Linked DNA regions of Pelodiscus sinensis. The protein of the gene in region 3 interacts with the protein of the main gene of each other region in a pairwise test. Links are inferred from orthologs where the notes say so. Each region holds a gene or a part of one and is shown on either strand. Other genes may lie near its edges.

Evidence for each region.
Region 1: the proteins of TK1 (region 3) and UNC119 interact in a two-hybrid assay, tested with the Homo sapiens proteins (2 studies listed by BioGRID and IntAct). The link is inferred for Pelodiscus sinensis from reciprocal best matches to the Homo sapiens genes TK1 and UNC119.
Region 2: the proteins of TK1 (region 3) and GDF9 interact in a two-hybrid assay, tested with the Homo sapiens proteins (2 studies listed by BioGRID and IntAct). The link is inferred for Pelodiscus sinensis from reciprocal best matches to the Homo sapiens genes TK1 and GDF9.
Region 4: the proteins of TK1 (region 3) and TLE1 interact in a two-hybrid assay, tested with the Homo sapiens proteins (2 studies listed by BioGRID and IntAct). The link is inferred for Pelodiscus sinensis from reciprocal best matches to the Homo sapiens genes TK1 and TLE1.

The regions. Positions count from the first base shown.
Region 1 is NC_134731.1:102,328-109,742, forward strand, and holds the start of UNC119 (protein unc-119 homolog A), read left to right. Parts: upstream 1-4,405; 5' UTR 4,406-4,502; coding exon 4,503-4,668; intron 4,669-7,415. UniProt on the Homo sapiens protein: Involved in synaptic functions in photoreceptor cells, the signal transduction in immune cells as a Src family kinase activator, endosome recycling, the uptake of bacteria and endocytosis, protein trafficking in sensory neurons and as lipid-binding chaperone with specificity for a diverse subset of myristoylated proteins.
Region 2 is NC_134727.1:24,606,358-24,613,229, reverse strand, and holds the start of GDF9 (growth/differentiation factor 9), read left to right. Parts: upstream 1-3,861; 5' UTR 3,862-3,900; coding exon 3,901-4,333; intron 4,334-6,684; coding exon 6,685-6,872. UniProt on the Homo sapiens protein: Required for ovarian folliculogenesis. Promotes primordial follicle development. Stimulates granulosa cell proliferation. Promotes cell transition from G0/G1 to S and G2/M phases, through an increase of CCND1 and CCNE1 expression, and RB1 phosphorylation.
Region 3 is NC_134730.1:29,476,447-29,483,988, reverse strand, and holds the start of TK1 (thymidine kinase, cytosolic), read right to left. Parts: upstream 3,020-7,542; 5' UTR 2,933-3,019; coding exon 2,873-2,932; intron 566-2,872; coding exon 534-565; intron 177-533; coding exon 63-176; intron 1-62. UniProt on the Homo sapiens protein: Cell-cycle-regulated enzyme of importance in nucleotide metabolism. Catalyzes the first enzymatic step in the salvage pathway converting thymidine into thymidine monophosphate.
Region 4 is NC_134716.1:39,162,224-39,169,886, forward strand, and holds the start of TLE1 (transducin-like enhancer protein 1), read right to left. Parts: upstream 3,004-7,663; 5' UTR 1,919-3,003; coding exon 1,895-1,918; intron 929-1,894; coding exon 828-928; intron 633-827; exon of another isoform or gene 160-632; intron 1-159. UniProt on the Homo sapiens protein: Transcriptional corepressor that binds to a number of transcription factors. Inhibits NF-kappa-B-regulated gene expression. Inhibits the transcriptional activation mediated by FOXA2, and by CTNNB1 and TCF family members in Wnt signaling.

The DNA.
Region 1 (7,415 bases), on a different chromosome or scaffold from region 3:
GAAATCCTTGGTGAACTTAAGCACAAAAAGGAAGCTTACAAAAAGTGGAAACTTGGACAAATGACCAGGGAGGAGTTTAAATGTCTAGCTCGAGAATGCCGGGGGGTTATCAGGAAGGCAAAAGCGCAAACGGAATTGTGATTGGCTAAGGATGGGAAGGATAACAAGAAAGGTTTCTACAGGCATGTTAAGAAGAAGAAGGTGATCAGAGAGAGTGTGGGGCCCCTACTGGATGAAGGAGGTAACCTAGTGACAGATGATGTGGGGAAAGCTGAAGTACTCAATGCTTTCTTTGCCTCTGTATTCATGGACAAGGTTGGCTCCTGGACTTCTGCGCTAAGTGACGCAAGATGGGATGAAGATGGACAGCCCTTGGTGGGTAAAGAACAGGTTAGGAACTATTTAGAAAAGCTAAACATACACAAATCCATGGGCCCAGATTTAATGCATCCGAGGGTACTGAGGGGTTTGGCAAATGTCATTGCGGAGCCTTTGGCCATTATCTTTGAAAAGTCGTGGAGATCGGGAGAAATCCCGGATTCGAAAAAGGCAAATGTAGTGCCCATCTTCAAAAAAAGGAAGAAGGACAATCCAGGGAACTATAGGCCGGTCAGTCTTACCTCGGTTCCTGAAAAAATCATGGAAGGGATCCTTAAGGAATCCATATTGTGGCACTTGGATGAGAGGAAAGTGATTAGGAATAGTTGGCATGGATTTACAAAGGGCAAGTCGTGCCTGACCAATCTGATTAGCTTCAATGATGAGGTAACTGGCTCGGTGGACATGGGGAAGTCAGTGGATGTGATATACCTTGCCTTTAGCAAGGCTTTTGATACAGTCTCCCACAATATTGCCAGCAAGTTAAGGGAATGTGGATTGGATAAATGGACGGTAAAATGGATAGAAAGATGGATAGAAGGCCTGGCCCAGCGGGTAGTAATCAACGGCTCGATGTCAGGATGGTGGTTAGTTTCTAGCGGAGTGCTCCAAGGTTCAGTTCTAGGACCGGTTTTGTTCAATATCTTTATTAATGACCTGGATGAGGGGATGGATTGCACCCTCAGCAAGTTTGCGGATGACACTAAGCTGCGGGGAGAGGTAGATACACTTAAGGGCAGAGATAGGGTCCAGAATGACTTAGACAAATTGGAGGATTGGGCCGCAAGAAATCTGATGAGGTTCAACAAGGACAAGTGTAGAGTCCTGCACTTGGGACGGAAGAATCCCAAGCATAGTTATAAGCTGGGGACCAACCAGTTAAGTAGTAGTTCTGCAGAAAAGGACCTGGGGGTTACTGTGGATGAGAAGCTGGATATGAGTCACCAGTGTGCCCTTGTAGCCAAGAAGGCTAATGGCATATTAGGTTGCATTAAGAGGAGCATTGCCGGAAGATCCAGAGATGTCTTTATTCCCCTTTATTCGGCTTTGGCGAGGCCACATCTGGAGTATTGTGTCCAGTTCTGGGCCCCCCACTACAAAAAGGATGTGGACACACTGGAGAGGGTCCAGCGGAGGGCAACCAAAATGATGAGGGGGCTGGAGCATATGACTTATGAGGAGAGGCTGAGGGAGTTGGGTCTGTTTAGTCTGCAGAAGAGAAGAGTGAGGGGGGATTTGATAGCAGCCTTCAACTTCCTGAAGGGAGGTTCCAAAGAGGATGGAGAGAGGCTGTTCTCAGTAGTGACAGATGGCAGAACAAGGAGCAATGGTCTCAAGTTGTGGTGGGAGAGGTCCAGGTTGGATTTTAGGAAAAACTATTTCACTAGGAGGGTGGTGAAGCACTGGAATGGGTTACCTAGGGAAGTAGTGGAGTCTCCATCCCTAGAGATGTTTAAGTCTCGGCTTGACAAAGCCCTGGCAGGTTGATTTAGTTGGAATTGGTCCCGCATAGAGCAGGGGGCTGGACTTGATGACCTTCTGAGGTCTCTTCCAGCTCTATGATTCTAGGCTGCAAGCTGTCCTCCCTAACTGAGCTGCCTTGAAATGAACAATCAAAGCAGACAGGTCTGAGGCACCAAGCAGTGCTCTTGGCTAGAATCTTATCCTGTGTGGTTTGTAGCATGCAGTCCTCTTGATTGGTCAGTAACTAGATCCATCTCATAACCACTGATTCTGATACCCACTGTGGCCTGCTTCCTTTATCCAGCAGTCTTACCCGAAAAGGGCAGTTGTAGCAGGCAAGATGTCTCAAAACACAGCTGTGGAATCAGAGCCGTCTGGGCTGTTTCCTACCTACGCTACACCAGTGAGGTGTAATGAGGCACCAGGGCTTCAGTCATGGGCAGCAGCTCCTACTGCCCTCTTACCTCCCCTCCCCCATTCCACTACCCCCACCTCAATCCAGCTCCTGCTGTTTCATCCTGATCCCCTTGCCGGCTATGTCTAGACTGGTATGATTTTCTGCAAATGCTTTTAACGGAAAAGTTTTCCGTTAAAAGCATTTGCGGAAAAGAGCATCTAGATTGGCACGGACACTTTTCCGTAAAAGCACTTTTTGCGGAAAAGCGTCCATGCCAATCTAGATGCAGTTTTGCACAAGAAAGCCCTGATCGCCATTTTCGCAGTTGGGGCTTTTTTACGCAAAACAATACCGCATTGTCTACACTGGCCCTCTTGCGCAAATGCTTTTGCGCAAGAGGGCTTTTGCCCGAATGGGAGCAGCATAGCATTTCCGCAAGAACACAGACAATCTTACATGAGATCGTCAGTGTTCTTGCGGAAATTCAAGCGGCCAGTGTAGACAGCTGGCAAGACTTGCCAGTCTAGACGCAACCACCTAGTATTGTTAGCATAACTTGACCTGCTGTACTTACTATTCCTACTGCATGGGGCCTGAAACTCCTAACAGAGTGAAGTTTCAGCTGTCCATTATGTTCCAGGTACAGCCAGTGTTACTTTGAATGAGAAGCAGTGTTGCTGAAAGCCAGCCCCACTTCTGTTTTGGTAATGGAGAAGGCTGGAAGAGGCTGAGAGTTGGATCAGGATGCAGTTGGGTGTATTTCCATTAGTTTGCAGCATTGGGTAGAACTGAACTAACTTCTGCCTGGATTGGCCTAGCAGCAGGATTTGAATGGACTCCTAGCTTCTTGATTCAATTTTGCTGCTGAAAATGAGGATACAGCATGACCTATCACACACTTCAGTGTAGACTGCTAGCAAGTGCTCTTTGAATTGCAACTTGATGCTGCGTGGCCTACACCGTTCCTGAAGTTGCATTATCCAACTCCAGGCACATCCAGTGCAAGGCTAGCTGAACTGGTAAGGTAACCTGTGTGTGCGTGCGCAAACATTGAAGTAGTGTGAAATAAACCTGCAACTGCCTTTGCTTTTCTCTTTAAAATGTGCATTTGCTACTAGTCTGGATTGACAGTAGCCACCTTAATTATGTCTATTAAATCTCCTTAGGAAATGCCTTTCAGTTTGCTATATCTCATTTAAAATAAGGATGTGAGCCAGCATCCTGATGGGTCTAAACAGCTACTTTTCAGAAATAGAAGCATAAGAAATTTCTGGATTAAAAATTCCAGCAGCTCCACACTGCTTAAAGTATTTGGGAAGAGGAGAGGGGTCAGGCAGTGACTGCAAGCTCTATACCAACAACGGGCAGCATAGGCTCTTCATCTCAGTTGGCCACAAGACTTATAATCAAGGTGGTCTTCTGGGGTGGGGTAGTTTTGCTAACTGGAATTTGTGGGGTGTGCCAATTGAACTGGAACAGCACTTTGGATGCAGAGAGCACAGAACTCTCACAGTCAGTGTTGCGTGTGACCAGCCCTCCCTTCCTATGCCCTTGTCACTTTAGTAATAGTGGTAGGGGAAAAAATGACAGAGACAGAAACTAGCATAATCTGACCCTCCGGATGTGGACACTGGTGAATGAAATGTCTCTTAAGCCACACACAGAACCCTGACGGGCTGCATATGGCCCATGGCCTGCAGGTTGCTCACCACTGCTCTAGCCTTTGTCTTGCTCCTGCAGCTGAGTCACAGTCCTCTGAAAACTGGCTTACAGAAGAAGGGGCTATATAGAGGATGGCTGTGAACTGCAGAAAGCCCTTGAACCTCCCGTGTGTATCATCTGCACTTTAGACTGATTCGCAGGCTTCCCCTCTAGCAACCTGACCAGAAAGCCCCTTCCCCACACCCTCTGCCATTTCTGCCCTAGAAGAGTTGGGATGAGGGCAGGCAGTGGGGCGCTGAGTGGAGGGGACTTACAGACTGGCCTGCGGGAAGGCAACCGAGCATGTCTTTCCCTGGCCGCGGTAGCCGGTTTCTGCTGGCTTGGAGGGAAGGCAGCCAGCATCTGGCCGCAGCCCGGCGGGGGCATTGACAGCACCGCGGCTGGGCTGGAGACGGGGCAGACAGGCAGGGTCGGTGGAACTCCCGGCCACTGACGGCGGGGAGGGGCCGCGTGGCCCCACCCGCCGCGGGCGGAGCTAGGCCCGGGCGGATCGGCGGCAGCTGGGCTCTGCCGGCAAAGACGCCGAAGCCGCGGGCGGGGGATGAGTGAGCCCGCCCTCCGCGCCGAGAGTCGCGCGGGCCGGCCGGACAGCGCGGCCATGCGGGTGAAGCGGGGCGGCGGGGCGGCGGGCCCCGAGGAGCAGGAGCTGCTGCGCAAGCCGCTCATCGGCCCCGAGGACGTGCTGGGCTTGCAGAAAATCACGGGCGGTGAGTGCTCGGCCCGGCCTGCCCCTGCAGAGGGGCCCGCCCCCGTGGGCCCCGGCCTGCCCCTTCGCTTCCCCTTCCTCGGGGGTGCCAGTCCCTGCAGGGGGAGGTGTGCCCACCCTGCAGCGGGCTGGCTGGGGCCCTGGGCTTGCATAGGGCTCCTGCCTTGTTTCCAGTCCCTGCAGGGGGAGGTGTGCCCACCCTCCAGCGGGCTGGCTGGGGCCCTGGGGCACGGGGCTTGCATAGGGCTCCTGCCTTGTTTCCAGTCCCTGCAGGGGGAGGTGTGCCCACCCTGCAGCGGGCTGGCTGGGGCCCTGGGGCCCGGGGCTTGCATAGGGCTCCTGCCTTGTTTCCAGTCCCTGCAGGGGGAGGTGTGCCCACCCTGCAGCGGGCTGGCTGGGGCCCTGGGGCACGGGGCTTGCATAGGGCTCCTGCCTTGTTTCCAGTCCCTGCAGGGGGAGGTGTGCCCACCCTGCGGCGGGCTGGCTGGGGCCCTGGGCTTGCATAGGGCTCCTGCCTTGTTTCCAGTCCCTGCAGGGGGAGGTGTGCCCACCCTCCAGCGGGCTGGCTGGGGCCCTGGGGCACGGGGCTTGCATAGGGCTCCTGCCTTGTTTCCAGTCCCTGCAGGGGGAGGTGTGCCCACCCTCCAGCGGGCTGGCTGGGGCCCTGGGGCACGGGGCTTGCATAGGGCTCCTGCCTTGTTACCAGTCCCTGCAGGGGGAGGTGTGCCCACCCTCCAGCGGGCTGGCTGGGGCCCTGGGGCCCGGGGCTTGCATAGGGCTCCTGCCTTGTTTCCAGTCCCTGCAGGGGGAGGTGTGCCCACCCTGCAGCGGGCTGGCTGGGGCCCTGGGCTTGCATAGGGCTCCTGCCTTGTTTCCAGTCCCTGCAGGGGGAGGTGTGCCCACCCTCCAGCGGGCTGGCTGGGGCCCTGGGGCACGGGGCTTGCATAGGGCTCCTGCCTTGTTTCCAGTCCCTGCAGGGGGAGGTGTGCCCACCCTGCAGCGGGCTGGCTGGGGCCCTGGGGCACGGGGCTTGCATAGGGCTCCTGCCTTGTTTCCAGTCCCTGCAGGGGGAGGTGTGCCCACCCTGCAGCGGGCTGGCTGGGGCCCTGGGCTTGCATAGGGCTCCTGCCTTGTTTCCAGTCCCTGCAGGGGGAGGTGTGCCCACCCTCCAGCGGGCTGGCTGGGGCCCTGGGGCACGGGGCTTGCATAGGGCTCCTGCCTTGTTTCCAGTCCCTGCAGGGGGAGGTGTGCCCACCCTCCAGCGGGCTGGCTGGGGCCCTGGGCTTGCATAGGGCTCCTGCCTTGTTTCCAGTCCCCATTTGGCTGGAGTGACCCCTTGTTCCCTAAGGCCTCTGCTAGCCTGGCCCGGCCCTTCCCTCCTGTCTGTGTGCCCAGCAGTCTGTGCCAGGGCAGAGGCCCTGCTTTGCCCAGTTGGGCAAGGGCGGAGGTGGGGGGTACGTCGGAGACCTGCTGAATTTTGTCTGTCCTCTCGCTCCATCTCCCGAAGGCCAGCCCTGCCACTGGGTATTTACTGCATGTGGGCTGTGTCTCTGGGGGCTGCCTGAGGACAAAGGGGTGGCACAGGACAGCACCTTCCCCCGAAGAGGGGGGCATTGATGGTGTAGGCTGAGGAGCTGGTGCTTAAACCCTGAAAATGCAGGGCCAACTAAGTCTCCGAATTCAGAAGCACCCAGCTCCTTCAGCCTTTAGCTTTGTTGTTAGAGGGGACAGCTTCAGTGGGACACAATGTTTCTCTGTCCGTGTGGACAGACTATGGGACAGCTTGAGGTGGTGGCTTTGTGCTGCATGTTCCCTAGCTGATGCCCAGAGACACCTGCCCTGGTCTGAAGTTCAATCTGAAGTTTGTGGCCTGGTTTCCTGTGTTTGCAAGACAGCTATGCATGAGCCAGCCCTGTGGGCAGAGCCCTGGGTGCTGGGGGCAGCACTGAATGGTGATGGCACTTCTTGCCATTGTGCCTGGCTGTGGAGTTGGGGGTGAACAGCATCAACGTAACTCACTGGATGGGGGGAGCTGCAGTGACTTTCCCACCTTCCACTTGGCTTGGGGTGGGGAAGAGGATCAGGGAGAAAAACCATGGTTTGCTAAGCTTGTAACCCAGGATTGTTCCTTAAAATAGTTTCGCGTGGGGTTTTCTGTGCCTTCTAAATCGCTTTGTGATTCTGCCATAGTCTGTTCTTAAACTCCTCTTCTGTTCAGCTGGCTTTGCTGAGAGCCCACATGCCCTATGTTGGTCACTGCTGCAAGAGGAGGGGCAGGTTATGGCTGTGGAAGAGAGTCTTTGCTCTCTGAGCTTCTCTTCCTCCATGCACAAAGTATCCATGGAGCTGCTGGTCTCTACTGGGGACTTTGCGCAGAGGGCAGGAGAATGCCTCCAGGTGACCCCTTGTGCTGTGTAGGTTCAAAGGGGGAACCAGTCCTTTGGAGGCTAGTCACTGTGGGGTAACACATCTGAGTTATTAGCCCTGCTGATTGATGAGGAACAGGCTGTTGTGCTTTCCAGCCGTGTGCCTCTAGCATGTTGCAATGGGACTTGGGGGTTCAAGTCTTTCTGGCCTCTGCTGATCACAGAAGTACCAAGAACGTAAGAACGGCCAGGTTGGGTCAGATCACCTGTCCATCTAGCCCAGTATCCTGTTGGCCAACAGCGGCCAATACCAGATGCCCCAGAGGGAGGGAACACCACAGGTAATCCTCACGTGATTCCTCCCATGTCACCCATCTCCTGA
Region 2 (6,872 bases), on a different chromosome or scaffold from region 3:
ATCATTGCTACCTTGGGTAGCACATTGGTGGAAATTAGAAAAAAGGTGACCATGCAATTACACCATTCAGTCCATACCTTCTCTTGTCAGGACTAATAACCAGGGGCCAGTTAATATACACGGCTTTTGGTAACTGGGACACTTGACCACTGCAAAGGACAACTCATTTCACACAGGCCACCAAACAATGGCAATTTTTAGAGCACTTCTGACTAAGATGAGATTCGCACCTGTAACCTAGGTATTTAAACCTTTATAGTACATTACTACTTCCTTGAGCCACCCAGTCTACCTGATATACATGTTGAAAGTGGTAGCTCTTTTAAAACCCCTCTCATCTCACAGTGTACTGTATGCATAAGAATATCTGAGATTTTACTAGGATCCACTGTGTAGAATTATAGTAAAATATTTATTATTACTTCACACAACACCTAGAAGTTAAGAATTGTTGGAGTGGATTGATACTAGTACATTGCTTGATGAATACTATTTTAAAAGTGTATGGAAGTATAAACCAACCCACCTAACAAAATGTTTAAATGTAACTGACCTTAGAAGTGGCAGTGCTCTCCTCTTATCACAACATAATCAGCTCTGAGAAGGCAAAAAGAACAAGGTAACATTATTCTGGTATGTGGATGGTTAGCTGAATATAATCCTAATCAGTTTTATAATTAACCTTCCAATCTGAGTGAAAGTATTCCAGCCTGACATTTTGTAAGTTAATTAACTTTCTATGAACGAGTGCTCCTTTCTTGGAAACAGCGAGATAGGAAAGTTAAACGATGGGGTGACATTTTACCACACTACTGATAACATGGCTCTAATTAAAAACAACTGACAAGAATAGAGATTCTCTCAGGTGTTATCCTAATAAAATTTTTAAAAATCCCAATTAGACATGTTCAGCAACAGGCAGCTCCATACATTCCAGATGTAATCAATAGTGCTCTAGTAAGGTCTTTAGGAGCACATTCCACAGATAGCTGGCTGTGATTGAAAAGCACCCTACTTATATGGATGCCTAGATTTCAGATTGCAGGGAGAAGGGCTTTACTTAGGGATTGAAAGGTAATCTGAGGGCACTATAACCACAATTACTTTTCCATTCCATTTCTCTAAGACTGGTATTAGTGTCTGCAGAGAAATGAAAGTCCAGAAGCATGTTAACAGCAAAGACAACTATAAGTCAGCTACTTTACACTGTAATTAATACTTCTACTGGTGTGGTCAGGTAGTTGAGTGCAAAAAAAAAGTATTCCTAGAGCATGATTTTTTAAAATTTTGTTTTTATTGTAATTTGAATGAAAAAAAAAGCCCTTAAACATTTGCCTTTAGTATTTGCAATTTAGACATCACAGTGCAAAGCCAGGGCAAAAAAAGTACAAAAGAGAAACAAATTGGGACAAACTAAGATTGTTTATTTTTTGTAAAATCACCTAATAGCATCTGTGGGGGAAAAGAAATAAGATTTTTAACATTCATTGATTTGTAATTACCTCAGGTATTACTAGTGAGTTTTCTATGTTGTTTTAAAAGGATTGAGCCAAGATCAGGCATGGGTTAAGTGAGCTGTACCGACACAACCCATATCTGAATTTGGCTCATTTGTTATAAACTAACCAAAAATACAAGTCTTTTACAGTACACAGTCAAGCACATATTATTTGCAACCACACATTAAATGTATTAAATTGCTTATTTTATTCACTGTTGATTTGTACAATAGTTGCCACAAACACAAGAACTACACTCTAAATAACTTATTATACAGTCCTATTCACAAAATGAAATGTAGCTGAAAATGTTTTTCAGAATCTGCCCAGCTCAGTGAAAACCTGATGTAATGAGAGCAGAGCAGATCTCATATGAGCTTCTTGAGGGTTCTGGCCCAGTAGCTATACACAGAACTTTGGCTGGATGCCTGTCTTCCCCAGCAGGTGAATCACTCTGAGGCTTAGGCAGGAGACAATCTCCTGACACCTTTTATAAAGCAGTAGTGCACACGCTCAGGTGGGAAATAGGAGCCTAGAATGAAACTGTAGTGCACATGTGTGACGTAGTGGAGGTACCTGGCTGGTTTCTATGCTGCTGTCTCTGGGGGTACCTGGCTGGTTTCTATGCTGCTGGCTCTGGGGTAACCCCCACTGGCTGCCGTGGGTACCACAACCCAGCAAAACAGGATGAATCACTATGCAAACCAGTATGGCCAGCCACCCCCCATGGAGAGGAACAAAGGAAGGTGGAATGCTGCCCTGGCTGGGGGGCAGGGCTGGAAGAGGGTGAGGGAGTTGGTGTCTGGGAGCATGGAGGAGACAGCCTAGGGAAAGGGACTGGAGTTTAGGGGCCCAGTCTCCCCCATCTCAAGGGGGCCTGAGGCATCCTAGCCCAGCTCTGTGACCAGATTACATCTGTGCTGTGCTGTATCATGGAGAGGCAATAAACTTCCTCTATTCCACCGGCTGGTGCAGTCTGTTCATGCCATTTTGGGGTGCAGGAGACGGGGAACCCCCAACGCGCCGTCACAACATGCCAAAAGGGAAAACCCTTGACACTGATTGGCTATGTCTACACTTGCGGCTTCTTGCGTGAGTAATATGCAAATGAGGCTAAGCGTGGACTATTGCTGAGCCTCATTTGCATACCTAATGAGCCACCATTTTTTCAGAAGAGGCTCTTGCGCAAGAAGGAGCGTCTACACTGCCCCTTCTTGCGCATGAAAAACCCTCTTGCGCAACGCCGTTCTTCCTCTCAAGTAATAGGTGTAACGGCATTGCACAAGAGGGTTTTTCTTGCTCAAGAAAAGGCAGTGTAGATGCTCCTTCTTGCGCAAGAGCCTCTTCTGAAAAAAATGGTGGCTCATTAGGTATGCAAATGAGGCTCAGCAATATTCCATGCTTAGCCTCATTTGCATATTACTCGCGCAAGAAGCCGCAAGTGTAGACATAGCCAATGAGTCTGGGTGCCCACTGGGTTGGGCAGAAGCTGAGTGGGGTTTGTGGATCACAATGGTGCCTAAAAACAGGAAGAAGGTGTCTAAATCCCCTTGTGCAAATATACATCTCACTCTAAATCTCACAGATCACACAAGAAGTTAAAGGGTGAGTGGGGATAGGAATTCAGCTATTTCTATCTCAGAGACCCTTGTTTAGAACACAATATGTTCACTTTTGTTACTAGTACACTACCACGGCTTAGCTCACCAGAGTGACCTATCATACCATGTCCAGCATTTACCAGAGCAGCTAAACATCAGATTTCAAATTAAAGAATTATTCATGAAGGATTCTTGTTTTCTGTTTCACCCAGGAACTCTGAACTTTATCCCCTACTTCCTTCTTCTCTTATTCTCCATTATCTCAGCTATGGTATTGTAAGAAACCCCATTTCAATTTTTTCCTATAGAAACCTTTTACTTACCAGCTCATTGAAAGATTATCATTGAGGTTTTTTAACCAGTTACTTTTTGGGGGGTTGGGATTGGGGGGCAGAATTATTATTGTGGTAAAAACATGTTTGAATGCCACAAGCTGCTTTAGGGTTGTAGTTATAGCCAACTAAAATAAGTATTATTGATCCATCATTTCCCCTTGTCCCTTCTGGAGAGAATAAACATGCTAATTAATTAGTACCTTTCATAATCACTAATGGTTTCCATGTGAAAATGGGTAAGTGGTGAGAGTGGTGTGCTAGTTTTCAAAGTGCCTACATGTGCAAAGATTCTAGCCTGAACTCAAATGGCCATTTGGATTCACTCTCCAGCTGTAGATCTCTCCGTTTGGTGTAAACAGAGAGATACTTCCTTCCCACTCACACCTGAAATATATTTAAGAGGCCAGGCTTAGTTATTTTTCTGTTTTAAGATACAACCTGTCATGGGATGAGGGTTTTTCTACTATGGCCTCCAGCAGCATGGCAATTCCCTGGAAAATCTTTATCTGTTTGTATTATTGTGTTCGCCTGCTTTCTTCTGTTGCTCTGTGTTCCCCCAGCTCTAGGGATGAGACAGTGTCTGAGAAGATGCCTGAGCTGTTGTTTGTTCCTGAGGATGAGCCTCCATTGTTGCTATTGCCGCCAGGTGTGAGAAAAGGTTATACCCTCCTGCCACCTCTTCTCAAGGTGCTGTCTGACCAGAAACCTCACAGTTGGGAAAGTGAGGTCCCAAGACTCCAGCCAAATTCCAGAGCCCTTAGGTATATGAAGAGGCTATATAAGATGTCTGCTACAAAAGAAGGAATCCCCAAAGCCAACAAAAGTCATCTCTATAACACTGTAAGACTCCTCGCTCCATGTGCTGAGTGTGAGCACCACCACAGGGACCAAATAAAAGGTAGGTGAGGAAAGATGTGTGTTTGGGGGAGATATAATTAAAATTCTCTTTCCTTTCCCCCCTTGTTCCTTCAATGGGGTGAAATAAAGAAACGTGTAATCTCTGCAGATCTGTATCTATTATACCTACTGGATGACTTTTCTCTTGCACTGGATAGGTCTTTTCATAATATGCCTTGCCTTAAAAGGAGTTTAGGTCTGGCTTTGCCATAACTTAGGTCTTTGAACCTACATAATTCTCACATCCAAACTGATGCTTACCCCTAAATACATTTTAGAACAATCCAGCATGGCCATTTTAAGATAAACTGATTTTTTTGTTTTGTACCTTTTGAGTCAAGCAAGGAAAAAGAAGTGACTGACATCTGCTAGCTAGATGCCTTATGTTCTTTTATTGCCATGTGTAAAATGCAGAATTTAAAGTCAGCAAACTCTGCCTCTGTAATCAGATCTTATTAATGATGTGTTAGGATCCAAATACAAGAGGACTTTTTCAAATCAGTCCACTGTTCTTCATCTACTTTCTACCAGAGAAGAACCAAACACTCTTTCCCCCCCACCCTATGAATATCCATATTTGTAATGCATGACTTCAAATAACTTAATGCTGCAGTCGAGAAGCTTCAAGCAGAGAATAATGGGGTGGGGTGAAAGATGTGGTCTGATCACAAGACTGGCAACCAGCAATCCCTGACTTCTAATCCTGCATGTATGGCTGTGGACATGTTACTTCAACTCTGACTCAGGATTTCTCCCTTTTTATTTATTTATTTATTTATTTTTTAAAGTCTGGCTACAGATGTGAACCTTCATCACATATTTTAAGGTGAAGTGCTCCAAAGTTAAGATTTTATAAAAGCAATAGGATTTATTGATTATGACCTGATGTATAAACTGCAGTCAAACTACTGTTTTAGGTGCATTGCTACAAAATCCCCTAAGTAGCATGATAATAAAATGCTTAAAAGCAAAAACTTATTAATGGGTGCATCTCCTAAGTTATCTTCTATATTATTGTAACTATTCAGATGGCTAAATTTGGAACTCACTCACCATCTCTCTGTGCAGCTCATTTCAAAAAAGCAAACAACTTAAGGGTTAGTGCATCTACACTAAATTCATAAAGCCCTCATTTAGAATATTCTCTGTAGTTAGTGGCCTTTTTCTCAAAAATAAGGATGAAGAATTAAGGAAGTTCAGAAGGCTAACAATTATTAGTAACATGGGGGAAATGCTCCAAATGAAAGAACTGGAATTCTTTACCTTAGAAAGCAGATAAGTAAAAGGGGAATGTGATAAATTAGTCAAAATAGCAAATGGTATGAAAAGATAATTCAGGAGTATCTGTTTTCCCTGTTTGTTGATATGGGGAGGCAATCAATGAAATGGGAAGATGGCAAATTCAAAGCTGAACACAAGAAATACTTTTATACATAATCTTATTTCTATAGGATCCTCTTCACCCACTATTTTTAATACCTATAGAAAGCCTGCAAAGATCTTTCTTTCTCTACAGCTACGACTATACTACAGGCTTCTTTCAGAAGAGATCTTTCAAAACAACTTCTTCCAAAAGAGAGCGTCCACTCTGCAACAGTGCATCGAAAAAGCGATCTGCTTTTTCAAGAGAGCGTCCTGACTAAATGTATGCTCTCTTGCATGTAAGCAGTGGATGGAATGGCCACCAGGGCACCTGTGCTTTTTCCTCTTTTTCTGAAAGAACTCCCTCTTCCCCGTCCACACACGCCTTTTTGTGAAAGAGCTCTTTTGTAAAAAGGCTTCTTCCTCATAGAATGAGGATTACCAATGCCAGAAAACCCCCTCTGTTTCTTCAATTTTCTTGTGGAAGAACTCAATTGTAGTGTGAATGTTCCTCAAGTTTTGTTGGAAAAACAGCCATTTTTCCAACAAAACTCTGTAGTATAGACATACCCTACCATTGCTACCATATTCAGTTTTGCATTTTTTCCTTCCTTAACATAACAAAAAAATGTTGCCTTTTTTTTTATGAAGTATCACTAGTTAACTAGTGTTGTCCCATCTATGGGACCAGGGTGTGGAGCCAACAGATGAATCCACCATTGTTTGCTCCTCCAAAATGTCAAAGGTATGTGTGTATAAAATTGTGTGTATATATACGACAGACTGGTGCATTTTCTTAGAGTAAGATTTTGGAACCTTTTCGACATTCTCTGCCAGACTACCAAATTTAAGTTGCATTGAATGTTGGTCTAAATTTCTTCCCTTTTTAATGACTTATTTCTGTTTGATTATGCACACTTGTCAAGTGCCACTGAAAATGGTTTAATCTCTACAGATACTTTGTTACAGATACTTTGTTTCCTTTCTCAGAAGACCTTCGCTCAGTGGATCTGCTTTTCAATCTGGATCGTGTTACTACGCTGGAGCATTTACTCAAGTCCGTCTTGCTCTACTCCTTTGACAGATCAGTTTTTAGTTTTTCTGCCAATACATGCACATGCCACTTAGCTGTTAAGGAAAATGATCCCTCTACTCAAGTGTGTCCCAATGTACCGCAG
Region 3 (7,542 bases):
GCCTGGTGAACTGTAAGCAGAGTTCTCTATAGTTACCCGCCCCGATACTGGGATGAGCTCACCTGTCGTGTGTGGAGACCCCATTGGTGCCGTAGCGCGTGTCCTTGGCATACTTTATCAAAAGGCATTTGTACTGTGCAATCTGGAATCTGCGGACCCGGCGCAGGAGCTCCGTGCTACAAGACAATCAGCCCCAGCATGAGGCTAGCACAGGGGCAGGAATGGCTATTACCGCCAAGGATTCCCCCAATGCAAAGCAGCATCCCAGCAGGAGGCAGCGCAGCGGGGGCAGGCCTACCAAGGACACAGAGGCCAGCTGGCAGCCCTGTGATGGGAGCAGGGACCTGGGGAGGCAGGTGGGCAGCACGAAGGGCCCTTTGTGGCTCCGCTAGCAGCTGATCTAGGCACGGACGCCCAGCAAAGCAGCTTAAGCGCCAGCCCCTGCCCCGGGGCCCCAGCCCAGCCTCGGGCAGCGCGACCCACCCCCGGAGACTCGACGAGGGACCCCCCAGCGAGAACCCCGCAGCCCCTACCTCTTCCCGGAGAACATGGGCCCGAAAATCACCTGGGGAGACAGGAAACGACCTGAGACCGGGGCTGAGTGAGCCCCCCCCGAACCCCAGCATCCGAACGCCACCCCCGGGCCTGCGCCCCCCCGAACCCCGGCATCCCGAACCCCCCCCGGGCCTGCGCCCCCCCGAACCCCGGCATCCCGAACCCCCCCGGGCCTGCGCCCCCCCGAACCCCGGCATCCCGAACCCCCCCCCGGGCCTTCACCCCCCCCGAACCCCGGCATCCCGAACCCCCCCGGACCTGCGCCCCCCCGAACCCCGGCATCCGAACGCCACCCCCGGGCCTGCGCCCCCCCGAACCCCGGCATCCCGAACCCCCCCCGGGCCTGCGCCCCCCCGAACCCCGGCATCCCGAACCCCCCCGGGCCTGCGCCCCCCCGAACCCCGGCATCCCGAACCCCCCCCGGGCCTTCACCCCCCCCGAACCCCGGCATCCCGAACCCCCCCGGGCCTGCGCCCCCCCGAACCGCGGCATCCGAACGCCACCCCCGGGCCTGCGCCCCCCCGAACCCCGGCATCCCGAACCCCCCCCGGGCCTGCGCCCCCCCGAACCCCCCCCGGGCCTGCGCCCCCCCGAACCCCGGCATCCCGAACCCCCCCCCGGGCCTGCGCCCCCCCGAACCCCGGCATCCCGAACCCCCCCGGGCCCGCCCCCCCCGAACCCGGCATCCCGAACCCCCCCCCCGGGCCTGCCCCCGCCCCCCGAACCCCGGCATCCCGAACCCCCCCGGGCCCGCCCCCCCCGAACCCCGGCATCCCGAACCCCCCCTGGCCTGCGCCCCCCCAAACCCCGGCATCCCGAACCCCCCCGGGCCTGCGCCCCCCCGAACCCCGGCATCCAGAACCCCCCCCGGGCTTGCGCCCCCCCCGAACCCCGGCATCCCGAACCCCCCCCCGGGCCTGCATCCCCCCCGAACCCTGGCATCCCGAACCCCCCCGGGCCTGCGCCCCCCCGAACCCCGGCATCCCGAACCCCCCCGGGCCTGCACCCCCCCCGAACCCCGGCATCCCGAACCCCCCCGGGCCCGCCCCCCGAACCCCGGCATCCAGAACCCCCCCCGGGCCTGCGCCCCCCCGAACCCCGGCATCCAGAACCCCCCCCGGGCCCGCCCCCCGAACCCCGGCATCCAGAACCCCCCCGGGCCTGCGCCCCCCCGAACCCCGGCATCCAGAACCCCCCCCGGGCCTGCACCCCCCCCGAACCCCGGCATCCAGAACCCCCCCCGGGCCTGCACCCCCCCCCCGAACCCCGGCATCCAGAACCCCCCCCGGGCCTGCACCCCCCCCCCGAACCCCGGCATCCCGAACCCCCCCCCGGGCCTGCGCCCCCCCGAACCCCGGCATCCCGAACCCCCCCCCGGGCCTGCGCCCCCCCGAACCCGGCATCCCGAACCCCCCCGGGCCCGCCCCCCCCGAACCCCGGCATCCCGAACCCCCCCCCGGGCCTGCGCCCCCCCCGAACCCGGCATCCCGAACCCCCCCCCGGGCCTGCGCCCCCCCCGAACCCGGCATCCCGAACCCCCCCCCGGGCCTGCGCCCCCCCGAACCCCGGCATCCCGAACCCCCCCCCGGGCCTGCGCCCCCCCGAACCCGGCATCCCGAACCCCCCCGGGCCCGCCCCCCCCGAACCCCGGCATCCCGAACCCCCCCGGGCCTGCGCCCCCCCCGAACCCGGCATCCCGAACCCCCCCCCCGGGCCTGCGCCCCCCCGAACCCGGCATCCCGAACCCCCCCGGGCCTGCACCCCCCCCCGAACCCGGCATCCCGAACCCCCCCGGGCCCGCCCCCCCCGAACCCCGGCATCCCGAACCCCCCCGGGCCTGCGCCCCCCCCGAACCCGGCATCCCGAACCCCCCCCCCGGGCCTGCGCCCCCCCGAACCCCGGCATCCCGAACCCCCCCCCGGGCCTGCGCCCCCCCCCGAACCCGGCATCCCGAACCCCCCCGGGCCCGCCCCCCCCGAACCCGGCATCCCGAACCCCCCCCCCGGGCCTGCGCCCCCCCCCCGAACCCGGCATCCCGAACCCCCCCCCGGGCCTGCGCCCCCCCCGAACCCGGCATCCCGAACCCCCCCCCCGGGCCTGCGCCCCCCCCCGAACCCGGCATCCCGAACCCCCCCGGGCCCGCCCCCCCCGAACCCGGCATCCCGAACCCCCCCCCGGGCCTGCGCCCCCCCCCGAACCCCGCATCCCGAACCCCCCCCCGGGCCTGCGCCCCCCCCCGAACCCGGCATCCCGAACCCCCCCCCGGGCCTGCGCCCCCCCCGAACCCGGCATCCCGAACCCCCCCGCCCCCCCGCACCTGGATCTGCCCACGCGCCTTGGCGGGGGAGCCGGGCCCGGGCGCGCTCAGGTGGCTCATCCCGCTGCTGCTGCGCAGGGGCCCGCGCGCCTCGGCTCCTCCAGCGGCGCCGGCCAATCAGCAGCGGGCCAGTCCCGCGCGCGCCCCGGGCCACCAATCAGCGGCCTGGCGGGAAACGTCCTCGGATGCGGGGCGGGGCGGTCACGGGGTCACTGCCCCCCCCCATCGCCCAGGGCCCCCCCGGCCCGCAGCGCGTTCGCCCCGCCCCGCCCCGAGCCGCGCAGCCCCGGGGCGGGTGCAGAGGGGCGAGACCGTGGCGGGATTCCGGGGGGGGGGTTGGTCCAAGCCAAATGAAAGCGGGGGGGGGAGCGGGGATTGCAGGGGGGGCTGATCCAAGCCAAGTGGAAGCGGGGGGGGAGCGGGGATTGCAGGGGGGGTTGGTCCAAGCCAAATGAAAGCGGGGGGGGGGGGGGGGGAGCGGGGATTGCAGGGGGGCTGATCCAAGCCAAGTGGAAGCGGGGGGGGAGGAGCGGGGATTGCAGGGGGGGTTGGTCCAAGCCAAATGAAAGCGGGGGGGGGGGGGGGGAGCGGGGATTGCAGGGGGGCTGATCCAAGCCAAGTGGAAGCGGGGGGGGGGAGGGAACGGAGATTGCAGGGGGGGGGCTGATCCAAGCCAAGTGGAAGCGGGGGGGGGGGAGCGGGGATTGCAGGGGGGGCTGATCCAAGCCAAGTGGAAGCGGGGGGGGGGGAGCGGGGATTGCAGGGGGGGCTGATCCAAGCCAAGTGGAAGCGGGGGGGGGGAGGGAACGGAGATTGCAGGGGGGGGGCTGATCCAAGCCAAGTGGAAGCGGGGGGGGGGGGGAGCGGGGATTGCAGGGGGGGCTGATCCAAGCCAAGTGGAAGCGGGGGGGGGGGAGCGGGGATTGCAGGGGGGGCTGATCCAAGCCAAGTGGAAGCGGGGGGGGGGGGGGAGCGGGGATTGCAGGGGGGGCTGATCCAAGCCAAGTGGAAGCGGGGGGGGGGGAATTGCAGGGGGGGCTGATCCAAGCCAAGTGGAAGCGGGGGGGGGGGGGAGCGGGGATTGCAGGGGGGGCTGATCCAAGCCAAGTGGAAGCGGGGGGGGGGAGCGGGGATTGCAGGGGGGGCTGATCCAAGCCAAATGAAAGCGGGGGGGGAGCGGGGATTGCAGGGGGGGTTGGTCCAAGCCAAATGAAAGCGGGGGGGGGGGAGCGGGGATTCCGGGGGGGGGTTGGTCCAAGCCAAATGAAAGCGGGGGGGGGAGCGGGGATTGCAGGGGGGGGTTGGTCCAAGCCAAATGAAAGCGGGGGGGGGGAGCGGGGATTGCAGGGGGGGCTGATCCAAGCCAAGTGGAAGCGGGGGGGGGGGGGAACGGAGATTGCAGGGGGGGCTGATCCAAGCCAAGTGGAAGCGGGGGGGGGGGGGGGAGCGGGGATTGCAGGGGGGGCTGATCCAAGCCAAGTGGAAGGGGGGGGAGCGGGGATTGCAGGGGGGCTGATCCAAGCCAAGTGGAAGCGGGGGGGGGCGGGGATTGCAGAGGGGGCTGATCCAAGCCAAGTGGAAGCGGGGGGGGGGGGGAACGGAGATTGCAGGGGGGGCTGATCCAAGCCAAGTGGAAGCGGGGGGGGGGGGAACGGAGATTGCAGGGGGGGCTGATCCAAGCCAAGTGGAAGCGGGGGGGGGGGGGGGAGCGGGGATTGCAGGGGGGGCTGATCCAAGCCAAGTGGAAGGGGGGGGAGCGGGGATTGCAGGGGGGCTGATCCAAGCCAAGTGGAAGCGGGGGGGGGGCGGGGATTGCAGAGGGGGCTGATTCAAGCCAAGTGGAAGCGGGGGGGGGGGAACGGGGATTGCAGGGGGGGCTGATGCAAGCCAAGTGGAAGCGGGGGGGGGGAGCGGGGATTGCAGGGGGGCTAATCCAAGCCAAGTGGAAGGGGGGGGGAGCGGGGATTGCAGGGGGGGCTGATCCAAGCCAAGTGGAAGCGGGGGGGGGGGAGCGGGGATTGCAGGGGGGGTTGATCCAAGCCAAGTGGAAGCGGGGGGGGGGGGAGCGGGGATTGCAGGGGGGGTTGATCCAAGCCAAGTGGAAGGGGGGGGAGCGGGGATTGCAGGGGGGGCTGATCCAAGCCAAGTGGAAGGGGGGGGAGCGGGAATTGCAGGGGGGGTTGATCCAAGCCAAGTGGAAGCGGGGGGGGGGAGCGGGGATTGCAGGGGGGGCTGATCCAAGCCAAGTGGAAGCGGGGGGGGGGGAGCGGGGATTGCACGGGGGGCTGATCCAAGCCAAGTGGAAGCGGGGGGGGGGGAGCGGGGATTGCAGGGGGGGCTGATCCAAGCCAAGTGGAAGCGGGGGGGGGAGCGGGGATTGCACGGGGGGCTGATCCAAGCCAAGTGGAAGCGGGGGGGGGGGGGAGCGGGGATTGCAGGGGGGGCTGATCCAAGCCAAGTGGAAGCGGGGGGGGGGAGCGGGGATTGCACGGGGGGCTGATCCAAGCCAAGTGGAAGCGGGGGGGGGAGCGGGGATTGCAGGGGGGGCTGATCCAAGCCAAGTGGAAGCGGGGGGGGGAGCGGGGATTGCAGGAGCTTGGGGTGACCACGCTCTTTGTTATTTTGGCGCTTAGCCACTCCGGGGCAGGGGTCTCCCCTCTTGTCTACACGGCAGCTGTTGGGGGGGGTCAGGCCTGGTCAGGCGGGGGCGGGGGGAGCTTCTGCACCAGGTGCTGTAGTGGGGACGCGGACGGGACGATGCGACCCCTCCCCTGGCTGGGGGCGCTGCCTGGCCGAGGGACCCAGCTGTGCGCCCTGCTGCTGGGGAGCCCGCGGCGCTTCCTGCGCTTTGCTGGAGGGTGCCCCCCGGGTGCCCCCCCCCCCGCCTCCGCCCCCCCAGAGTAGCCAATGGGGCCGGGCCGGGCCGGCCCCACCCCGCGCGCGGGCGGCCGCAGGGGGTTGCTTTGCGCTGGCCACGCAGCGAGCCGAGCGCAGCCGGTGCGGGCGGGCGGGGGCAGCGACATGGGGCGGTGGCAAGACATGACAGACGAGGTAGGGGCTGCCCGCTCGGGTACTCCTGGGGGGCGGGGTAAGGAGGGAGCTGGGTCCTTGTCCAGCTGCTCTCAGGACCTCGCTTAGGCTGGGTCTACACGGGCCGATCCTGCGCCAGAAGTATGCAAATGAGACTAAGGTGGAATATCTCCGGAGCCTCATTTGCATACCTAATTAGCCACCATTTTGCGGAAGAGGCTCTTGTCCCAAGGAGCTGTCTACAGGGCCCCTCCTTGCAGGAGAAAAAGCCTCTTGGGCAATGCTGTGAAACTGATTCATTCCAGGGTTATTTTCTTCGGGGCTGACACCACTGGGGTTTATAACCAGCTGTTCCAGGACCCTTCCTGCCATGCTGGAGGGCAGATCAAGAAGAGTTCCGCAGGGATCAGTGGCGGGTCCGGTTCTGCTCAGTATCTTCCTCAATGATTTAGAAAGTGGCAGAGAGCGGGATTATTAAGTTTGCAGATGATCCCAGGCTGGGAGGGGTTGTGAGTGCTTTGGAGGATGGGTCAGAATTCAAAATGATCTGGACAAACTGGAGAAATGGGCTGAGGGGAACAGGGTGAAGTTCAATAAGGACACATGCAAAGTGCTCCACTTAGGGAGGAACAATCCGTGTCACACACACGATGGGCAGCGACCGTCTAGGAGGGAGCCCTGCTGAAAGGCGTCCAGGGGTCATAGTGGACCACAAGCTAAATATGAGTCAACAGTGTGACACTGTTGCAAAAAAAGCAAACATGATTCTGGGCTGAGTCAACAGGGCTACGTCTACACTGGCAGGATTTTCCAAAAATGTTTTTAAGGGAAAAGTTTTCCGTTAAAAGCATTTTCGGAAAAGCACATCTTGGTTGGCAGGATGCACTTTCTGCGGAAAAGCGTCCGTGGCCAATCTAGACGCGGTTTTCTGCAAAAAAGCCCCAATCGCCATTTTCGCAATCGGGGCTTTTTTGCGGAAAACAGTTCTGTGCTGTTTACACTGGCCCTCTTGCACAAATGATTTGCACAAGAGGGCTTTTGCCCGAACGGGAGCAGCACAGTATTTCTGCAAGAACACTGACGATCTTACATGAGATCTTACATGAGATCGTCAGTGTTCTTGCGGAAATTCAAGCGACCAGTGTAGACAGCTGGCAAGTTTTTCCGCAAAATCATCTGATTTTGTGGAAAAACTTGCCAGTCTAGAAACAGCCCCTGAGTGTTGTGAGCAAGACACGAGGAGTCGTTCTTCCGCTCTACTCTGCCCTGATTAGGCGACAACTGGAGTATTGTGTCCAGCTCTGGGCACCGCATTTCAGGAAAGATGTGGAGAAATTGGAGAAGGTCCAGAGAAGAGCAAGAATGATGAAAGGTCTGGAGAACATGAGCTAGGAGGGAAGGCTGAAAGAACTGGGCTTGTTTAGTTTGGAAAGGAGAAGACCGAGAGGGGACGTGACAGCAGTTTTCAAGTATCTAAAAGGGTGTTACAAGGAGGAGGGAGAAAAATTGTTCCCCTTGGTCTCTGAGGACAGGACAAGCAGCAATAGACTTAAACTGCAGCAAGGGAGGCTGAGGTTGGCCATTAGGAAATGCTTCCTGCCTGCCAGGGGGGTTAAACACTGGGGTAAGTGGCTCGGGGG
Region 4 (7,663 bases), on a different chromosome or scaffold from region 3:
CTGGCAATATATCAAGAATAGTATAGCAACCATAACTTAGATTACCAAAGCAATGAAATTCACTTATATGTGGTAGCACACTAAAATACTTGCATGCTTTTTTAAAAATCCTTATTTGCTCTTTAAAGTCTTATTTGCATCAAAAAAGTGCAGACATACATAAGCTGAGAACCAGCCTTTTACATTTTCCCCTACAGTTAGAAGGGGATATTCTCTCCCAATACTTTGTAGGCTTTTCACTAAAGAATCCTATCAAAGAGTTAAATTCCACACTCCCATCCTGAGCATTTTACAGATGGTTCCATATATTAAGTGCCAGAGCTGGGCTTAGAACCTAAACTGGTCCTAAACTCAGACACTCAATTTCACCACTGGACTTCACTGCTTCCCATTGAACTTCTAGTTCTTATTAAAACCTTATTTCAACAGTCCTTAGTACTGGAATGCGGTAACATGAGGACAAAGTCACCCATTGACCTGCTGTTCTGAACACAGCCTATTACAAAATTCCCAAGAGCAAATATTGACAGTTATTGTGAAGCTCTAAAAACACACAGAAAAAGTTCATCTGAACAGCAGCAAAACAAGCTATGAAAACAATGGCAAGTAAAGAAAAGGAGTGAATGACAGGACTTAACTGTGACTCCACACGCCACCATCTGGACACAGACATAAAACACAGCTTCTCCCACCAGCAAAAGTGGAGATAAGAAATACACCCCACTGAACAACACGTTGTGCACCAGCCTGAAATCCTCAAACGCAGTATGTGCCTCAGGCCTGCGGTGCAGGGAGAATTGGGTATGAAAAAAACATGATGCACCCACCTGTGATACTGAGCTTGGAGGAACTGAAACTCCTCTTTGATCCGATCTAGAGACTCTGGAATAGTGAATTTAAAAGGCTGACCTGCAGCCTGGTGTGGTGTCTAGAAAGGCCAGGAGAGAAGAAAGAAGGCACAAGAAAAGAAAAATGTTTAAACAAAAAACAGTGAGCAAGGCCATAAGATGGGCATGAAAGATAAGCTACTTATCCCACTGTCTTGGCAGGTAGCTTCTTAGGAAGCACCTGCTCCCACCACCATTTGCCACCCTACAACTGGGGCACCTCCAGCAACACATGAACAACTGTGTGTGCTAATGGAAGCGGGGAGAAACTTGGAGATCCAGCTCCTCCTTCCACTTATCACGACTGCCCACTACACCTCCTCCCCCACAAAAAAAGAAGTTGGTTTTCACTCCACCCTGGAACACCCCTCAACTCTCCTTACACTTGTCACCACCATCCCAGGAAAACTAGTAGGTTGCTAACCGCTCCCTGCTGTAAAATCAAGTGCGGTGGGGGGGGGGGGGGGGTGGAAAGGCGAGCTCATATCCTGTCCCTGGGTCCAGCAGCCAGAGCTTATTTGGCCACAACTAAAGAAGGGGGAAGGAGCCAACCTGGCGGGGAGGCGGGGGAGCGTCCCGGCCCCGCCATTGTCATTTAGATGCAAATAAGTTACACATTAAAACAAAAGGGAAGGAGGGAGAGAGGAGACGCCCTACCCCCATCCCCCTATGCTCTCCGGTAGACAGGCAAGGTCTGAGTTCCGGGAAAGGGACACGCCGGGGGGGGGGGGGGGGGGGGGGGGGGGGGAGAAGAGCAGGAAAGCCAATAAGTTGCCTCGTGCCCTGTTGTGGGTCTGCTATTCTTAGGGCAGGAAGCCCAAGGGCCCGCGGGACTGCGAGAGCAGGAGGCGGAGGCGGTGGAGAATGTAGCCCCGACAGCGAGAGAGGCTGACTGGGCAAGCAGGGGTACTAGCCACTCACTCACTCACTCACCCTGGGGAAAGAGCAGCGGGGATCCCCGCTCTGTCACCCCCACCTGCGGGGTGTCCGGGCCTGGGGTTACTTACGGGATGCCGGCTCTGGGGAAACATGGCTCTGGCCGCCGCTTTGCTCCTGTGCAGCTCAATTCTCGACTCAGACCCCAACTTTAGATCCCGAGCCCCGTGCAGCCCCCGGGGGCAGACGCCACCGCTCAGCGCCCCGGCCGCGGCATGCTCCTCCCGTCGCCTCCTTTGTTGTTGTCGGGCTGGGGGCTCGGTCCCGCCGCTTTCTGAAAAGTCACCGGCAGGTGTCGGCTCCTTGGGCGCGCCGGCCCCAGCCGGTCCCCAGGCCGCGCCGCTCCGCGGGGCGGGGGCGGCACAAGGCGGGGGGTGGCTGCTCCCCTCGCTGCCTGACCGCCTCCTCCTCCTCCGGCCGCCGCTTCTGTCTGCAGCGTAAATAATCCCCTTTCGCAGGCTCGTAACTTGTGCAATTGTAAGACCGGAAACTCCGAGCGGGGGCGAATCCTCTCCCCACGGCTCCTGCCCGCAGGGGAAATCCAGGCCGGGGCGCGGGCGGGCTGGCACCAGCGGGACACTCAGCAGATAGGGGCACGAGAGAAAGTCCCCGGCGAGTGCCGCGCTGCTGCTGCTCCCGGGCGTTGGCGAAAGGGCCGCTCGCAGAGTAGCAGGGGCCGGCTCCAGCGGCACATGCACCGCGGAGACTCCTCGGGCCGTTGCAAAGAGAGAGGCACCAGCAACACCCACCCCCTGCTCCCAGGCCACCCTCCCCCCCAAGCGCACCCGGCAGGGCTATTCAAAGGCTAATCAACTCCTCCGTGGATCAGCCCCGCGGCAGCCTCGCTCGCAGCAGCGGCTCTCACCAGCAGCGCCCCGCGCGCAGCAGCATCCTGGGCCGGCGCCTCGCCCCGCTCACGGCCGGGACAAAGTTCTCTCCAGCGCCCCGGGGTGACACATCCAGACAGCGGCGGGCGGGGGGAAAAAAAACCCAGACCCCCCCCCCCACTTACAGCCGCGCCCCCATGGCTAATAGCGCGCAGGATGCAAACTCCGCGGGGTGCGGGCCGAGGAGCGCAGCGCCCAGGCAGTAGCAGGCTCTCGGTACACGGGACACAATGTATCCGCCCGCGCTGGCTACATTAACACGCGGTTTCACACTCCTCTAGCTAACCAGCCACCCGGCCCCGCCCACTCGAAGGGAGGTGGGGAGGACCCTGGCCAATCGCCTGCTCAGGCACCAACGTGGGGCGCTGATGTACTCCTCCCGCCTGCCCAATGGGGCAAGCGGCTGATCCCTCCAGCTCTCCTGGCAGAGCGGCAGGACCCTTCCGAGCGGACCAATAGGAGTCCGTGGAACGCTCAGAAAGGCTGGGGAGAACGGGAAGGACGGTGGGAAGGAGAGGGGAGAGGCTGAACTGTCACTCAAAGTAACGTGGGCGGGGGGGGGGAACCAGAGAGAAAGGAGGAGGAGGAGGAGGAGGAGGGGAAAGAGAATGGAGGAGGAGGAGGAGGAGGGGAAAGAGAATGGAGGGAGGAGTGTATTGCTGGGATCTGGTTTATTCCTCCACTTTGCCCTCCCTCCTTTCTCTAGTCTCAATCTGTGAAAGTAACATGGAAAGATAAATACTGCATCCTATTTTAGGGCAGGACCAGCTGCCTTTACAGCCAGACGTACAGTGCCCTGCTTAAACACACAAGCTAAGGTGTAGAGTGTTATGCACTAGGGCAGCCTTTGAGGTTAGTGTGTATATAGTTATCTGTATCCAATTTTTCTTAGAACAATTCACCTCGAGGACCAGAAGGAAAGTTATGAACATGACAAAACTCAGTTGCTGGAAAGCCAATTTACCCATAAGATCCACTAGTGGTCAACTATTTTAATGTCTTATGTATATACATACTCAGTTGTATTTAAATATAAATTATACAAATGACCACTTTATGCTATTATAATACAGATATACAGCCCATCCAAATCACCACAAATCAGGCCCCATTTTGCTCTCATACCTGTTTTTATTAAAAACAACATTCAGTGCTGTTCATTGTTGTAAATTGAAAGCACTTTTAGCCTATGATTTTTTATCTCAGCATTTACTTTCTAATTCTAACAGACAACTATGGTATGCATACATATTTGATTTATAGGTTATGTACAGACAGGTGCATAAACTATGGCACCCACTTATAGTGTATTTCAATAGAGGAGATACATAATAAAGTAGGAAGAAAGTCTCACCTCAGGTCTAATATATTGCAATATAATTTTAGACGGTAACCTCAGACAGAAATGAAGTTGTCCATATTGCGTAATACTGACTTTTTCTAAGGGAGTTTCATCAGAGCCAAGCACTCAGAAACTTCCAATATTATAAACAGTTTATAGGTCTATTTGAAATAGACTAGGGTCAAATCAATTCCACATGTTCCATGTGTGACTACCACCATGCCAAACACTGACACAGCCCACAATGGGATGTAAACATCTTTAGAACACATCCTCTAGTAACAACCATTTTATTTATAACAGAATTTAATAATCAAGCATCAGGCACGAATAGCTTTAAATTTAAAACAATGCTTTAATAAATGTTCATGTACTTATTCAGTTACTGTAATATATTTTACCTAGTGGAGAGATTCTAAATATTATAGGGAGCCACTTGAACATAAAGAGAGCAATTTAATAGTAAACATTTTTTCACCCTATATTTAAACTTTCCTTTAAATGTGTATGCGATTGATTTATTCATAATTGTACTTTCAGTATATAATTTAAATTAGAAGTGATTATAGTTACAATTCAATAGGAGTGAAATCGTTACATCTCTGAACAAGAGCAATGTATGGCTTTATTCAATTCTCTATTATTTTTGAACTGCTTTATTACCAATTTTACCTGCATTTAAGAAATGACAGAAGACAGAGGTGTGTGTGTGTAGGGGAAGGTGTGGATAACAAAAACTAAAACAAAGCTCTTATTACCTGTGAGTATTTTGCAAAATACCAGATGAATTTTGCACTCCTTAGGGTTTTGAATGTGATACTTATAAGGCTAAGAAAATATATTTTCTCCTTTCACCATTTCCTAAGGGTAGTCAACAAAGATTTGCTTTTAAATAGAAGGCAGTGTTTGTGGTAGCAGATTGTAAATTTGTCTAGTGGTTCATGCACAAGTCTGGGAGTCAGAATTTCCGAGAAGTCTATGGCCAACTCTGCCAATGATTTGCTGTGTTATCATGGGCAAGGCACTTAACCTCTCTGTGCATCAGTTTATTCATATAAAATAGATATTATTAGCATATTTAGCTATCTCACAGAGGCAGTAAGAAGTTTAATTAATTAATGCTTATAAAGCACTTTAGATTCCTCAGATGAGAAGTGCTATAAAATACAAACTATCATTATATATGGTAGGAGTGCACCTGGTAGTTATGGAACCTGAGACAACACAACACTTTCTCATCCAGCTTTGGTTAATACAATGCTTAGCCTGCTGGCGCAAGTTGTTAATGAGATATAAACAGATTAAGCATTAAAACAGCAGTATATTTTGGAACAAGAACAAAAGTGGATATTTTAATTGCTCACCTACATGAAAGTTGAAATGTCTTGTGATCTTTACCGGTATTTACCATATTTAAATTTTTCAGGGCATGTTTTAACAAATGCAGGAGAGCACTCTGTTTTCCTCATTCCTTTTAACAAGTTCTTTCTGACCTACTGAGGTGCCAGGAGCAGAGACTTAAGGGCATTTTGAGCCTCTTCCATCAAAATCAGAATGGATAAGCAGTAAAACCAGTCATAGAACTGTTTGATTATAAAACGGGTTGATTTTTGTAAAATGAAAGTTATTATATGTATTAAATAAATAAATAAATAAATACTCGTTCTTTCATGTAGTTAATTTATAATTCATCATGGTCTGATGGTAGGGGACCAAAATCTGCTCTTGGCAGACCATTTGTTGTTTTTTTACCAATGTAAATGTAATGTTAATTGCACTGGAGTCCATGATGTTTCTCAATACTTAAGCCAGTGCAACAAGAGCAAAATTTGGATACGTTGAAGAGTAAAGGTATAGAAAGCTCAGCTGTATCCCATTCAAGGTAATATTTTCTTTTAGACTGTTATACTGTAATAATTATACTACTGCATTAAAAATAATGATGTTTAAACAATCAAGCTGCTTTAATCTTATGTTTTAAATAAACATGCTGTTTGCAGAGGCCTTCAATAATAAAATACCAAAAATCTCTATTTAATCATAATTTCTACTCATTTATTTGAAATCTGATACTTTTTTCCCTTACTACGAGCATACTAATTTGATGTTCTGATTTCCGACAGTGTCAAGGCCTAATCCTGTTTTGATTTTGTACCAAAACTCACAATGACATCAGTGGGAGTTTTGGGTGCACAAACCAATCAGGATCAGGCCCAAAATGTAGTTTTATTATAATATTAGGTTTCAGATATAGCATCTTGCTCAATCAGAGGAATGATTTTCATTTGATTTATTTTTTTATTCTTTACAGTTAGCATTATTGGTTACAAGCAATATGAATACATTTTCACTTTTTAAAAATTCCCACAGAGTGGCAAAATCTTTATAATAAAATGCTGGTAATGTCAATTATCTGGAATTTGCTAATGGAGAAGAAAACTCTTTCTAAAAATTGTAATTTACTTCACTCCTCTGCAAACCATAATGCGGTAAGAAAAAAATTTAAAAGACAAGTATAAGATTTAATAGGGTTTATGCTTTTAAAATTATTTATTTAAAAATTCATTGGATTATCTTTCAGAAAAAGAAGATGAACATTTTAAAATATTTGGTTGCAATGTGCTTACTGTACAGCTAGGAGCAAAACTAGATGAAAGAGTGCCTGAGTCATATGGTATATGTAATATAATAGTGCTATATTTGAAGAGATTATAATGGTTATAATGAAATGCAAAAGGAGTATTTTTTCAAGATTCTGCCTTATTTATAAAATCAAAATTATAACAAGATAAAATTATTTACTTTATCATAATTCACTATATTACAGTTAATCAGCTCTTTACATATTTTTTCAACTTTTTTCAAATTAATAATTTGTCTTATAAACAGGAATTTTTGACAAGTTCCAGGATGACTTTTTTCCTTCATCTCGCGATTACCTTCTCTCAGTTTGTTGCCCTTAAAAAATTCTTCCAGACTAAGTAGGAAAAAAAAATCAGTAGCAAATTATGCATCAGTAAAACCTCAAATAAAATCAGATCCAAAGAATCTCTTGTGGTTTCACACAATATGGTAAAATTAGAGATTGCAGGAAACCAACAAAATTAAATTGGGAACATCTGAAGAGAAATGACCAGGGTTTATGAAAATGACACATTGACTAGCCAGTATGCTTTTATATCAACAATTTCTTTGTTAAGGCAGAGATCAAAGGAACCTGCATATGTTTTCATTTTATTTCAAGTCTAACTAGAAAATTACATCCAGATGTTTAATAGGCATTCTGTTGGTTTTTCTGCATTGATTAGATATGTTGGTACTGTTTGCTTACAAGTGTAGCCGGATCATTAGCTAATGCAAAGAAATGTTTGTAGTGAGTTGCTAATTAGGTCTTTTGGAAACTCTCCACACTCAGGAACAATTTGTATAGAGGCCAGAAGAACTTGCAATACTTGAAGAGTTGCTTTCCCGTCTGTCTCTGGGAAAAAACAGTCAGTCCCTTTCCCTAATCTTCTTTTGCCTACAGGGATTGCAGCTTGATCCCAGTGGGTTGAAGTGCAAATAAATTAGGAAGAGACCACACACACAAATCTCTTTTATCAGTCAATCTG